Saccharomyces cerevisiae S288C: one gene and its partners. The gene in region 1 interacts genetically with each later gene. Each region holds a gene or a part of one and is shown in the gene's direction. Other genes may lie near its edges.

Evidence for each region. Genes that interact genetically often act in the same process or in processes that back each other up.
Region 2: mutations in NRS1 (region 1) and YGR237C together harm fitness more than expected from each alone (negative genetic interaction), as found in Saccharomyces cerevisiae (one large-scale study listed by BioGRID).
Region 3: mutations in NRS1 (region 1) and OTU2 together harm fitness more than expected from each alone (negative genetic interaction), as found in Saccharomyces cerevisiae (one large-scale study listed by BioGRID).

What each region holds. Positions count from the first base shown.
Region 1 is NC_001144.5:246,560-250,752, reverse strand, and holds NRS1 (Nrs1p), read left to right. Parts: upstream 1-2,326; coding exon 2,327-2,653; downstream 2,654-4,193. Other genes in the region: OSW2 (Osw2p), read left to right, coding at 1-2,036; IES3 (Ies3p), read right to left, coding at 2,800-3,552; FCF2 (Fcf2p), read left to right, coding at 3,776-4,193.
Region 2 is NC_001139.9:962,250-967,205, reverse strand, and holds YGR237C (uncharacterized protein), read left to right. Parts: upstream 1-1,550; coding exon 1,551-3,908; downstream 3,909-4,956. Other genes in the region: KEL2 (Kel2p), read left to right, coding at 1-1,167; SPG1 (Spg1p), read left to right, coding at 4,389-4,676.
Region 3 is NC_001140.6:76,382-80,036, reverse strand, and holds OTU2 (deubiquitinase OTU2), read left to right. Parts: upstream 1-1,683; coding exon 1,684-2,607; downstream 2,608-3,655. Other genes in the region: YHL012W (UTP--glucose-1-phosphate uridylyltransferase), read right to left, coding at 1-1,101; YLF2 (Ylf2p), read left to right, coding at 2,723-3,655.

The sequences.
Region 1 (4,193 bases):
AATCGACAAAACTAGGCGCCAATTTCTACACGCCAAACATTCTCACTAAGGATATTAAAGAGCTGCACCACAAATTAAAACATAACGGTGCAAATACGTATTCAATTGACATTGTGTTAGTGTCTGCAATTTCCTTACAGTCTTTCGAAACAACTTGTCGATTGTTGTCAGATTACACGAACGACAATACGACTGTGCTTATTAGCACTGATTTTGGTTGCGAACTGGAGCCCATAGCCATAAGTTATTTTGGAGGGAAGTGCAAGTGTGTTATTTCCATTTCGTGTGAGGTTGAATGCAGACAGTTATCGCTTGGATCATATGCATTGGTCAACGACGATCAATGTGTAATAACTTTGGGATTAACTTATTGTGATGCTAATTTTGAAGCAAGTCCAACCATTCTGGAAAACACGAAAGCAGCTTCGTTAGAATTGCAAGGGATTAAGGGTTCAAATGTTCGCAGGTTCCTTCTTGGATTGACCGTTGCGAAATGGATGAAATCTAAATTAATTTTGGACCCAAAACAAATGGCATTGAAAATGTGGGAATTGCTTATTCCTAAAATCTCACTTAACATCCTTTCTATCATCTATGAACAATTTGATTATGAGAAAATGTTAGAAAACAAATCCACAGAAATTATTTTTAAAGATCTGGTGAAAGAGTTACTTGGAATTTGCTTTGCACAATGTGGAAGCAAAATTGCAAGGTTTTTGCTAGTAAAATCACAAGGTGAAGAAGAGATTAATTTTGGGAAAATCGTAGAATATTGCAAAGGTAAAAAACTGCAACTTATCAACTCTACGGCAAACGAACATCCGGAATATTTATCCTTACCGTTTGAGCCTTATTGTTTCTACCACCGATTTGAATATCCTGCTCAAATTCTTTTGCATCAGCCCATCATTTTGGCCAAAAAGTATGGTGTTTCGTGTTCAAATTTAAATTTCCTATATGGATTCTATACGAGGTTACTGACACTAAGTGGGCTATCAATAAATGGTGGAAGGTGTGAGCATGCCTTGTCGATGTTGGACAGCAGGATTGGTGGTGGTATTAACGTTGCTTCAGGAATTAATAGCGGCCAAGATTTTACCGATGGTGATAACGAGGATCAAGATAAAGGCAAAAACAGAGTGGACAAAAATGTAAAGGAAGGTTCTTTCATTAGTTTAACACAACGATTCACGATGACAAGTCCACTGGGTGTCAATGATCCAGCTTTACCAGCGGACTTAGAAAAGTTGTATTTAGGTGCAGAATACATTAGCAATTGCGACGCAAATACATCTGGTGGTCAAAAACGAGTAAAATCTCCAACTAAAGCAGATACAGGCTACGATGATAAACACTTGCCTGATGATACGATACATACATTTGAAGATGAATATTTGGCCGATGAAGACGACTTTTCTTGCCTTGGAATTGACAAAAGAAGCTCAACAAAGCCCACAAAGCCTCTAGAAAAATTTGGAGTGGTTGCTGTGCCACACTTCATCAGGAGGTTTTCTATTAAAAGGTCGAGTAAGGATAAATCAAATGATATGAAAAGACCATATACTACAAGCAGCTTGGAGTTGCAATTAAGGTCAAATCACTTTATGTTCGCCAAAGAATACCAAGACTTACATAGACAATTATATTACGAAGTTAAACCAAGGACGCAATCAGAATTGGACGCAAGACGTCGAAACTATTCTGAATTAGAATCTCAGATGTGGAAAATTAAACATCGGTTCAATATTCATAGAGGAGCACTGCCTCGTCCACGAACGAATCCGTATGAGCTATTACTGGACCACATTGATGTTTTGAACCGTGGCAACACTGGGGATATTTTGAGATTTACCACTAGTAGATACGGTGGTGTAGATACGTATGATTCCATCTTGAGGGACCAATCCACGATCATGGAACTTTTAGATAAACGGTGTGCCTATTCACCTCCAGTACTGTTCGATAATGAGGCTAAAGAACGTGATCATGATCGCGATTGTTATCAAGATTACAATCACGACCACCGGAGTCATTAATATTAAAAAAAAAAAATGTGATTGTTAATAAGGGGTGGGATGCGCGAAATTCTATGCCTACAGTAGAAAGCGGTTGTTGCACAAATGATTAAATCTTTATCTCCAACTCACAATACTATCGCGATAGATGCATAATATGTGCAGCTTCTAAACAGCACGGAGTGATGATAAATACGCATATATGTATATATATATGTATGTGCATATGCACGTCCTTTTAAAACTCAAAATACAACATTCTTAGTAAATCCTTTTGTTGACACACGTCGGAACAACTCAGGACGGAGTTAATGGATATGCTTCATAATAAATGTAGTGATGCTATCAAAAGCACCTCCAATAGCAATTTGAGTAATGAGGTAGACAAACAAAAATTGCAATACGATGACCTCGGGAACACCGGATTTTCTGAACTATTTGAGATGGAATCTCAAGATAATAATGATAGCATAGAGGATTTCTTGTTCTTTAATATAAATTTAACCCAGGAGGTTGAGTTCGAGAACCAAAGACAATATGAGCACACGAAAAAGACAAAGAAGCATAACCCATTCTATGTACCGTCAGAGGTAGTGCGAGAGATGGTCAAGAAACACGCATTGAATGGCAGAATATAGTTAAGCCCGATAACACATTCTATTTTTCATGTTTTAATAACGTTTCATATATGAATTTTTCTCAAATATACGATATATACCTAAATGAATATGCATATGGAAGTGAAGTTGGGGATTTTGCAAACTTGTCTTATGTTAATCTTGGCTTAAAGAATGTTTTCCAAAAGGCCGTTCTTATTAATTTTTCTTCTCTTGGTTCTGTTAAATGCTAGTGAATTCGCATTGACGTTCGTTGGTATGGCTACTGCTCCGAATGCGATTGGATGGCTTGCCTTCCTGCCACGATTACTGAACAAATCGAGTTCTACATTTGCATCCAACAGTAGTTCTTTCAATATAAACCACTTTCTTTCTTTCTGTGAAAGTTTTTGGTACTCTTCAAGCAAGTTCTCTTGGATTTTGGTCAGTATATCAATTTTTTCATCATCTGATAAGTCAGGGTCCTCAGTTTCTTGGTCCTGCTCCGCTGCATTTAATGTTACAATTTGGTCATTGACAGCTTGTAAAAAGTTGTCATTCATAGCGTAAAGATTGTCCTTGTACAACCTTGTCTTGAGGGTGCTTATATCTATCTCATCTTGGTTAGCGTTCGTTATTACATTCCCTGGAGAATTCTTTATCATTTCATAGTTCATTTTCGATATGTCATCCACGGCAACAATGTGTCTTTTGAATGTCGTGGTGTTTGTGTGAGTGGAAGCAGTTGAGGCGGCATTTGCATCGGTAGCTGTAGATGGGGTCGAAGAACCTTGTTGATTCAAGCCATCTGCGTTATGAAATTTTTTGTGATGTGGGTCTTTCTCCAAGAAATCTGGAGTTTTGACACTTTTGTAATGTTGAGTAGCTGCATGAGCAAACTGCACCTGTTTATTGGTTGCCAAGAGGTCTTCGAACTTCATTGTTATGATTCCATTGAAGACAGCTATGTCAGTTAACAACGCAATTCCCCCTTTCACACGAAAACCTTTTCTCTAAACATCCTTCTCTTTTATCATAATTCGTGGTTAGTGCCGGCCTAAAAATTTTTCAGCATATTAAAACAGAAGATAGAAAAGAAATAGAAAATGCGATGAGACGTCAAGTTTTCCAATTAAAGAGGACGTGAGAAAGGAGCTGTTAAACATGGATCAAAGTGTGGAAGACTTATTTGGAGCACTAAGAGATGCTAGTGCCAGTCTAGAAGTAAAAAATTCAGCGAAGGAACAAGTTTCTCTTCAACAAGAGGATGTTTTGCAGATAGGCAATAATGATGATGAAGTAGAAATTGAAAGTAAATTTCAAGAGATCGAAACTAATCTTAAGAAGCTTCCTAAGTTAGAAACCGGATTTGATGCTTTAGCAAACAAGAAGAAGAAGAAGAACGTCTTGCCTAGTGTGGAGACAGAAGATAAAAGAAAACCCAACAAGAGCGACAAAAACGATAATGACTGGTTTACCTTACCAAAGCCAGATGATAACATGCGTCGTGAAGTTCAACGAGATTTATTGCTGATTAAACATAGAGCTGCTCTTGATCCAAAGAGACATTATAAGAAGCAAC
Region 2 (4,956 bases), on another chromosome or scaffold:
AAACCCCAATCTTCCAAAGTTGATTCAAGCATCAATAAGGAAAGTCCGGGAACTGGTATCAAAGTATCTAAAAAAAATTTCCCTGTTCTACGAGGACTAACAGTGGATTCAGAAGAGTATGGCTCTTCTTCATATAAGGACACATCATGTCAAAAAGGAATTCCCAAAAATCTTTTTGATGATTTAAACCTGAACCTACAAACATTACGTCTCGAAGCTCAACAAAAGGAACTTGAAACTGCTAGACATATTTCACAATTAGAAAAGGAAGTCCAGAGACTCATGGTAATAAAAGAAGCTTCAAAAGATTCAAATTTTCAAACAGCACGGCTTAAAAATCTAGAAATTCAGAAAACCTTTTTAGAATCTAGAATTAATGATTTAAAAAATTTATTGATGGTCAAATTATCTCAGGCAAGTAAACTCTGTGACCAAATTACGATTCAAAATAATGGACTTAAAACATGCTCCGAACATGTCACTATTAAAAGGGATATCATCGATCTTGAGAATAAATGTGATGTTTTGAAGCGCCAGAACGAAATACTTGTAAATAATATGCAAAAAATAACCCCCGAACTTCATACCTATTTGAACGAATCGTCCTGCTATCTGGGTAAATTATTAAAAAGCTATCCTACCAGTGCACGGCCACCTTCAAGTGAGAAAGATAATCAAATATATGAGAAAGATTCGCTGAACAAAATAGAAAAAGTAATAAATGAAATGCACGAAACCGTGCGTGCTAAAGAGAAATTGCACCTTGAAACTCAGAAGCTTAATGATGAAAGAGATTCTTTGCGGGCTAATTTACTCGACAATAACAACAAGTTGGATGCGCTAAGAAAACTCTCTGATGGAAGCTCGAAGTCTATGGACCTAACAAAGAAGGCTATTCACCTATCACAATCCGAGCTCGAAAAATATCGTAAAAACAACGACGATTTACAGAAGGAGATTGATAGAATTAAAACTGAACAAGCTGAACAGGATGACAAGCAGGAACAGCGTGGCGCCATCACTCATGGAAATTTTGATGCGTTCCACAGAATGAAAATCAACAATCTGAAAGCGGAACTGTATATGTCGAAAGAAAATAGAGATTCCCTCAAGGACGAACTGCTAGCTTTAAAAAAAAAACTATATACTCTCGAACAAAAAAAATAGTCATTGGAAGACGTTGTTACGCACTGGGAAGTCAATATGTACAAAGTATATAAAAATATATTTAAACACCTATAAGGACATTGTAAACATTAAGTATTAATAGAAGGAGAATATAATTGCCAACTAAGCCTTTTGAGGTTAATATTCAATGGTGCAAAATTAGTAGCCGCGGTTATTATTATTCGCCGGGTAAAGAGCCCGCTTTTCTAGGGGGATTTTAGGTGAGCATGCCTCTAGAAAGCCAGAAGGACCCTTAACGAAGCGAAACTGTTCAGAAGAATGAATAAAAAGACACATTGAAAAAAAGAATATTGTCGCACTGTACATAAGGGAGAAGCTGTAATCCCTGGCAAACTGCTAATATCTAATAAAAATAATAGAAGATGTCATCTGCAAAGACATTTACTAAGCATATCTCGTTTGATGATCTGGCACCTTCCTTAATTGATGACCAAGCTACCATTATTAAAAATGACAGTCACCATGTTGGCTTGAATAATCATTTTTTACATATACCTCCACAATTTAATCCTGTTTACAAAAATACTTTGACCGGTAGCCATGGCTCTAATGACCTTGCCACTGACGAAAGCTTGGACTCACCCGAAGACGAAGAAGCTTCTTCGCCACTACAACTAGGAACTCCAACGTCTACAACATCTGGAGTTCCTCACTTCTATACTCAGGTATTTTCTCCTGCAGCACATGATCCCTCCAAAAGCTATTTGAGATCGCCCAGCGTTGAAAGAAGTAGAAGTGAGTCTCCAATGTTCAGGTCAAGAAGAAGGACTTCAGTGAGGTTGCCTCCCCCTCCAAAAGTATCCGTGCTAAAAAAATCTCGAAAAGCTGCTGATGAACAGGGCCCTATTGATGATATTGATATTGGTGATTTGGATTTTGAGCTGGAAAGAAAAATGACCAAAATGACCGAAAGAAACACTCAAAAAAATTCTGGATCAAGGAAAGGCTATACGCAAGCTGCATTTGCCAATCTTAATGAAGTTGAAGATAGAATTGAGACCAAGTCAATGGTAGATTTATCCGAAAGCGAAAATATGGAGAGCTCAAAGAAAAGGTCCAAGTCGTTTGCCGGGATGACAGACGAAGAATTAGCCAAATTAGAGGAATTTTATATAAGTAAAGGAAGATCGAACAAGACTAAAATAGATCAATTTGATTTTGGTGAGCAAGTTCCAGTCTATTTGAACACAACAGAGTCAAAAACGGATTCAAGCAACGTGACGGACCCTTTAGCAGCAATTTATCCATCAAGGCCTACAATTGTTCACAATGCAATTTCAATGACAATTGATCATCCAGACTATGAAAATTATATTTCCAATACAAAAGAAAAGCTCAATTGCAAAGACAAAGATGACGATGTAGATTTAAGAGTTGTTTCGTGTTATATATCAGGTAGGAGATATACTTGGTCATCTGTGGACTGGTATGTTGAAAATTTGACAAGAAATGGTGATCATTTAGTCATAATTACTACAATTCCTGAGTTTGAAGCAAAGATTGATACTCTAGCATATAAGGAGAAAAGAAGGCACCGCTTAGAAAGGATGACTAGCAATACTAGTGAAAGCATGACTACCGCGTCACATAGCCTTATAGGCCCGGATCTCTCTAGTCCTTTATCAACGGGAATAAGAATAGAAGCTATTCATAATGAGGCTAAGCAAACTTGTAGCGATATTTTAAATTACTACGCGAGAAGATTGGCAACTAAAATAGTTAGGATTAGTATTGAGATGGTAAAAGAAAATTCAACAAGATCAGCCATAATATCTGCGACCTCTCTGTATAGGCCAAGTTTGCAAGTAATCAGCACCGTTAGTGCCAACATTCAAATCAAGTTTAGAAATGGAAAAGTGAAACTACCATTTTTTTTAATGAAACACTTTGCAATGCCAGCATTTGTTGTCCCATTCGAATTCATCAAGCCTGAGCTTTTAATAAAACCTAGAGTGGATAAAGATGAACAGGACAACAGCGATGATTTGAAAACGGAAGTGAGAAAAAAGGAACGATTGCAATGGCTAAGTGCATTAATCAGGAGAACTTTGGAAAACCCTTTCACAAAACATAAAGTGGTTGATTCGGATGATGAAGAAAGCGATAGTGATGAGTCAGTAACCTCTGTAAATGAGTACTTCCCAATCTCACCTGAAAAAAAGGAAGAAATGGAATTCTTCGATAAGATGGGATATGTTAGACCAAAACCGTCGAGACAAGTACTATTGGATGATAACACTCTTATGAAGTACGACAGTTCTGGCCGAAAGCTAACTCCTATAGAATCGAGAAATTCGAGGCGCAGCTCAAAGCGGAGTTCAAGAATACAATTCAACAATAACGGCATTTATAAAGTAAAGTCCATGGTTGATGACATTTACAACCACGAAACTGCCTCTACGCCTCATATCAAGACAGCACTAAAATGGGACAATGAGGATCCGAAAATGAAGTTCACTTCACATCCAATGAGAAAAACAAAATCCGCAGGGCTATCACCCAGAACATCCTCCACTTCATCTTCTTCAGGACAGAGAAAAGCGCATCACCACCACCATCACCACAACCACGTTTCAAGGACGAAAACTACCGAAAGCACCAAATCAGGCAACAGCAAAAAGGACAGTTCCTCATCCTCAACAAACGACCATCAATTTAAAAGGTCTGAAAAGAAGAAAAAAAGTAAATTTGGCTCGATCTTCAAAAAAGTTTTCGGATGAACCGGATTAATACAAGTAAAATCAGCAAAGATATAGAAGACAAAATAAGCGTGAAAACAATCATAAACCACTCACAACGGGGGTTTTCAGCTGTTACTCCTCCATACATACATTTTGATAAAGATATAATGTTATATTTCTTTTCGTAATTTTGTTTTACTTCGGTTTGCTCTATAGATTTCATCAGCCGCACCGAAAAGGGAGATCAATAAGGTACCCTTTAAAAGGGATAAGAAGCCTACATCACCCCAATAAATGGAGTAATGGCCAGCATTGGATGAAGAGAAGAATTACGGGATACTGGGATAACACTGTTAAAAATGCTTCGCGACGTGAGGGTCTTCTTCATATAAATTGAACTGCCAAATCTCTTTCACATTATCCAGGATAGTTTGGAATGTGTGTTACTGAAGGATCAGAATCAATAAATACAATCAATACAAATATTTAGCGCATAAAATTCAAACAAAGTTTACTGAAATGAAGTTAGATTCAGGAATATACTCAGAGGCACAAAGAGTTGTGAGAACTCCAAAGTTTAGATATATTATGTTAGGGCTGGTGGGCGCTGCTGTGGTACCGACCGCATACATGAGGAGAGGCTATACGGTTCCTGCACATAGCTTAGACAACATCAACGGCGTAGACACAACTAAGGCGTCTGTTATGGGTACAGAACAGAGAGCAGCTATGACGAAGGGTAAGAGTTTACAAGAGATGATGGATGATGATGAAGTAACGTATTTGATGTTCTCTTCAATCATGTAAGGGAATTTGTACTTGGTTCCCTGCATTTATGTTCTTTGCATTTTGTTTTCGCATTTAATCATAGTACGACAAACGGGGAAGGGGATTGTGATTTTACATAAGGCCCCTCCCATCATTGAGAAGGTTATTAATCAATACATATATAAGCATTTTCTTTTATACATTAATTGAACTGATATTTATTTTATGACGCAATAAAGCCTCTAATGCACTGCTATTATTGTTACTGTTAGTAAATATTCAACTAGCATAAATGATTGATGAGGGGATTCATTGCAAA
Region 3 (3,655 bases), on another chromosome or scaffold:
CAATACTCGACTGTTCGGAAAGAAGGCAATACAATCGACCAACTGTGTCTTAAATTGAAGACACTCTATCTCTTCATTTTTGTGTGTTATTTTACTTTCACTAGAATGAATTGGCAAATTTAAACTATTAGACTCTATTAGCACCTTTAGCTTTTTCAAATCAATCCAAATGTTATTAGTGTTGACAATTCGACACGTGCTTGCACTTTCATTGGATAAGCAGTTGTAATAAACCGATCGTAGTTTACCTTTATATGTTGCCAACACTCCAGTGTTTGAAACATTTGCAGTCCTTTCAACTACTTCAACAAGATACTCGATTTTTTCATTTATGATGAAATTTAAAATGTTCAAATCTCCTGTAGCGCCCAAATTGTCAACATTTGAAACAAATAAAATCTCTTTTCCTTGAGCAATTAATTTGTCCAATTCTCCTGAAAAATACAAAGTGTCAGTTAGGTTACCAGTCCCGCAAGGATACCAAAAATCATTTTCATGAGAATTTATTTGTAAATCGATAGGTAATAATCTATCTTTATCAATTTGTGGAAAGCTTGACTGAACTACGGTTTTCCATCTCACTTTGCTAGAAGAATAATGCTCTTCAAGGAAGTTTGATACTTGAGATTCAGTTTCAAGCGAGGTCATAAATATAAGAGGAACGTCTGAATTATATCGTACATTCAAATTTTGCGTTTGTCGAACTATTACATCCAATGAAGACATCCCATTTTTTACTTCGAATAAAGGGCTTTCTTTACCAATGATTGGATTAGCCTTTCCGGTTAATTTTAAAATAGCTAACTTTGATAATAGTTTACCCTCTAACAAACCGTAATTTTTAATATCATCGAGTTCAACCACTTCATCAATTATCGGTAATCTAATTTTGTCACAAACTAGATCATGGGTGATTGAAGTATTTTCTAAGACATATCTTTGAAAAATGTGCAAAAATAGGCTAAACTCATAATTCTTGTCACGTATCGAAGGAAAATGTTTCTGCAAGGCCCTTATCATTTGTGACATAACAACATCCTTTCCAATACCTTCGAAAGTACCTTCAAACTCTATTTTATTTACTCCAGAGAAAACCGTCATTGATCTTGTATATACTATGTAGAACAGTGAAATATTTTTCCTTTTTTTTTTTATTATCAAGAATCACTTGTGTCAGTTATCGTTAAATTCCAGGTTACAAAAAGATTGTAAATGCCAGGGAAAATACAATTCAAAAAAGTTACAGTATAGTTATATTTAATTACTTAAATTTACTTTTTTTACTATAAGGTGCTATTCCTGCATTCTTTTTTTAATTAATCAGGACTTATAAGCTGATAGTACTTTCATTCTTTTTTTTTTGTGTGATAAGGCCATTGAACATTATGGAAGACTAACTACTTTTTCTTCAAGAAAATTGTGTGCTTCTACTCTCGTTCAATACAGGAAATTTTAATTCCAACAGAGTGGAAATTTATGGTTTTCTTACCACAATAAATTTCTCAATTGTTAAAATCTGAAAAGTTGGCAGCCCTGGCCCTGTCAAAGAAAGTATTATTATGCGTCGCGAAATTTCTTTTTCTTCACGCCTTGTTTTTAGTTTGGGCATCTCGAAAGCATCTAATACAAAATCCAACTAAAGCACAGCATTCAATCTAGTAGAGAGAACAAGAGATATTCATCATGACCGGCATGGAATCAGGAGAGAATTTGGAAAACATGGAAGATATTTTGGCGAGACATCGCAAGGAAAATAAAGATTTACAGAATAAGATAACGGGTATGAAAAAGCAGGCTACTAAATCCAAAAGGAAAGAAGTTAATTCGAAATGCCTAGATCTTCAAGATAAACTAAAGACTAAGCAAGAAAATGAAATAAGGGATTGGAAAATTGCAAATAATGAAGTGTTTGACGCAGAACAAGAAGATGAAGTGACTCCTGAAAAACTTTTAGAACAACTATCCATATCTCGAGATGAGAAAGAACAACAGAATGTTCCCGTTCAACAACAGCAACAAGGCCAGACAAAGAAGCGTCGCAATAGACAAAAGGAAAGATTGGCCAAAAGAGATGCAGCAATTGCTAAAATGAAAGAAGAGGCTGCTTTAGAAGCATCCAAACAACCGGACTTGAAAAAAATGGAGCAGGAGTCTATAGATCAGTTATGCGAGTTGAAGAAACTGAAACAATTCGATATACAACCCGATGGCCACTGTCTCTTTGCATCTATATTAGATCAGTTAAAATTACGCCATGATCCAAAAAAACTGGATCAAGACATGGATGTCATGAAGCTGAGATGGTTGAGTTGTAATTACGTACAGGAGCACAGGGATGATTTCATTCCATATTTGTTTGATGAAGAAACTATGAAGATGAAAGACATTGATGAGTATACGAAAGAGATGGAGCATACAGCTCAATGGGGTGGTGAAATTGAGATTTTGGCTCTCTCTCACGTTTTCGACTGCCCCATTAGCATTCTGATGAGTGGAAGACCTATTCAAGTGTACAATGAATGTGGGAAAAATCCTGAATTGAAGCTAGTTTACTATAAACACAGCTATGCATTAGGTGAGCATTATAATTCATTGCATGATTCTTGATTTTTCCCATCCGTATCTAATGAGATATGCTTATTTGTAAACCTTAATGCATCTATTTAATTGTATAGTTTGAAGCATATGGATATAAAAGAATAAAGAGAAGTAATAATCGGATATGAACATTGGTGGAGGAAAATTTTTACTTGGGAGGATATCGAATAATCCAACTTCAGGGATAGTAGGGCTTGCTAATGTTGGTAAATCGACTTTTTTCCAAGCAATAACAAACTCAAAATTGGGAAATCCTGCAAATTATCCATTCGCTACCATTGACGCAGAATGTGCCAAAGTCAATATACCTAGCGTGCCGCTCTCTAATTTATTGAGAATATATCAGAGTGCGAAATGCGTACCTGGAACACTCACAATATATGATATTGCTGGGCTCACCAGAGGCGCATCTCAAGGCCATGGTTTGGGTAACAAGTTCTTAAACGATATCAGACACGTAGAGGGGATATTTCAAGTGGTGAGAGGATTCTTAAAGGAAGACATCACCCATATAGAAGGTAATGTTGATCCTGTCAGAGATCTATCCGTGGTACAAGATGAACTCATCTTGAAAGACTTAGAATTTCTGGAAAACATTAGGGAAAGACTTAGTAAGAAGATGAGAATGGTTTCGAAGAATTCTAAAGAACATCAGGAAATGAAGATAGAGACAGAATTATTAGATGCATTAGAGGAACATTTGTTTAACGGTAAAAAAATCCGGCATTTCAAAGATCATTGGAACCTGGATGAAGTCAAAATTTTGAATAAGCATAACTTTTTAACCTCCAAACCAACTTTGATATTGCTAAATGTTTCACCTCAAGATTACGTTAGGAATGAAAATAAATTTGTCAGAAATATTATAGAATGGATTAACGAATTTTCGCCAGGAGATAAATTCCTACTTTTCAGTGCAGAATTTGAATCGCAATTGATGGAATGTAAAGGCATAGCGTCAGAGTATTTTGACAAGATCAAGGAAGATACCAATGTTTCTGATCAACAGTTAGTTTCTGCGATACCGCAAATAATACTAGAAATGAGAAAGTTGTTG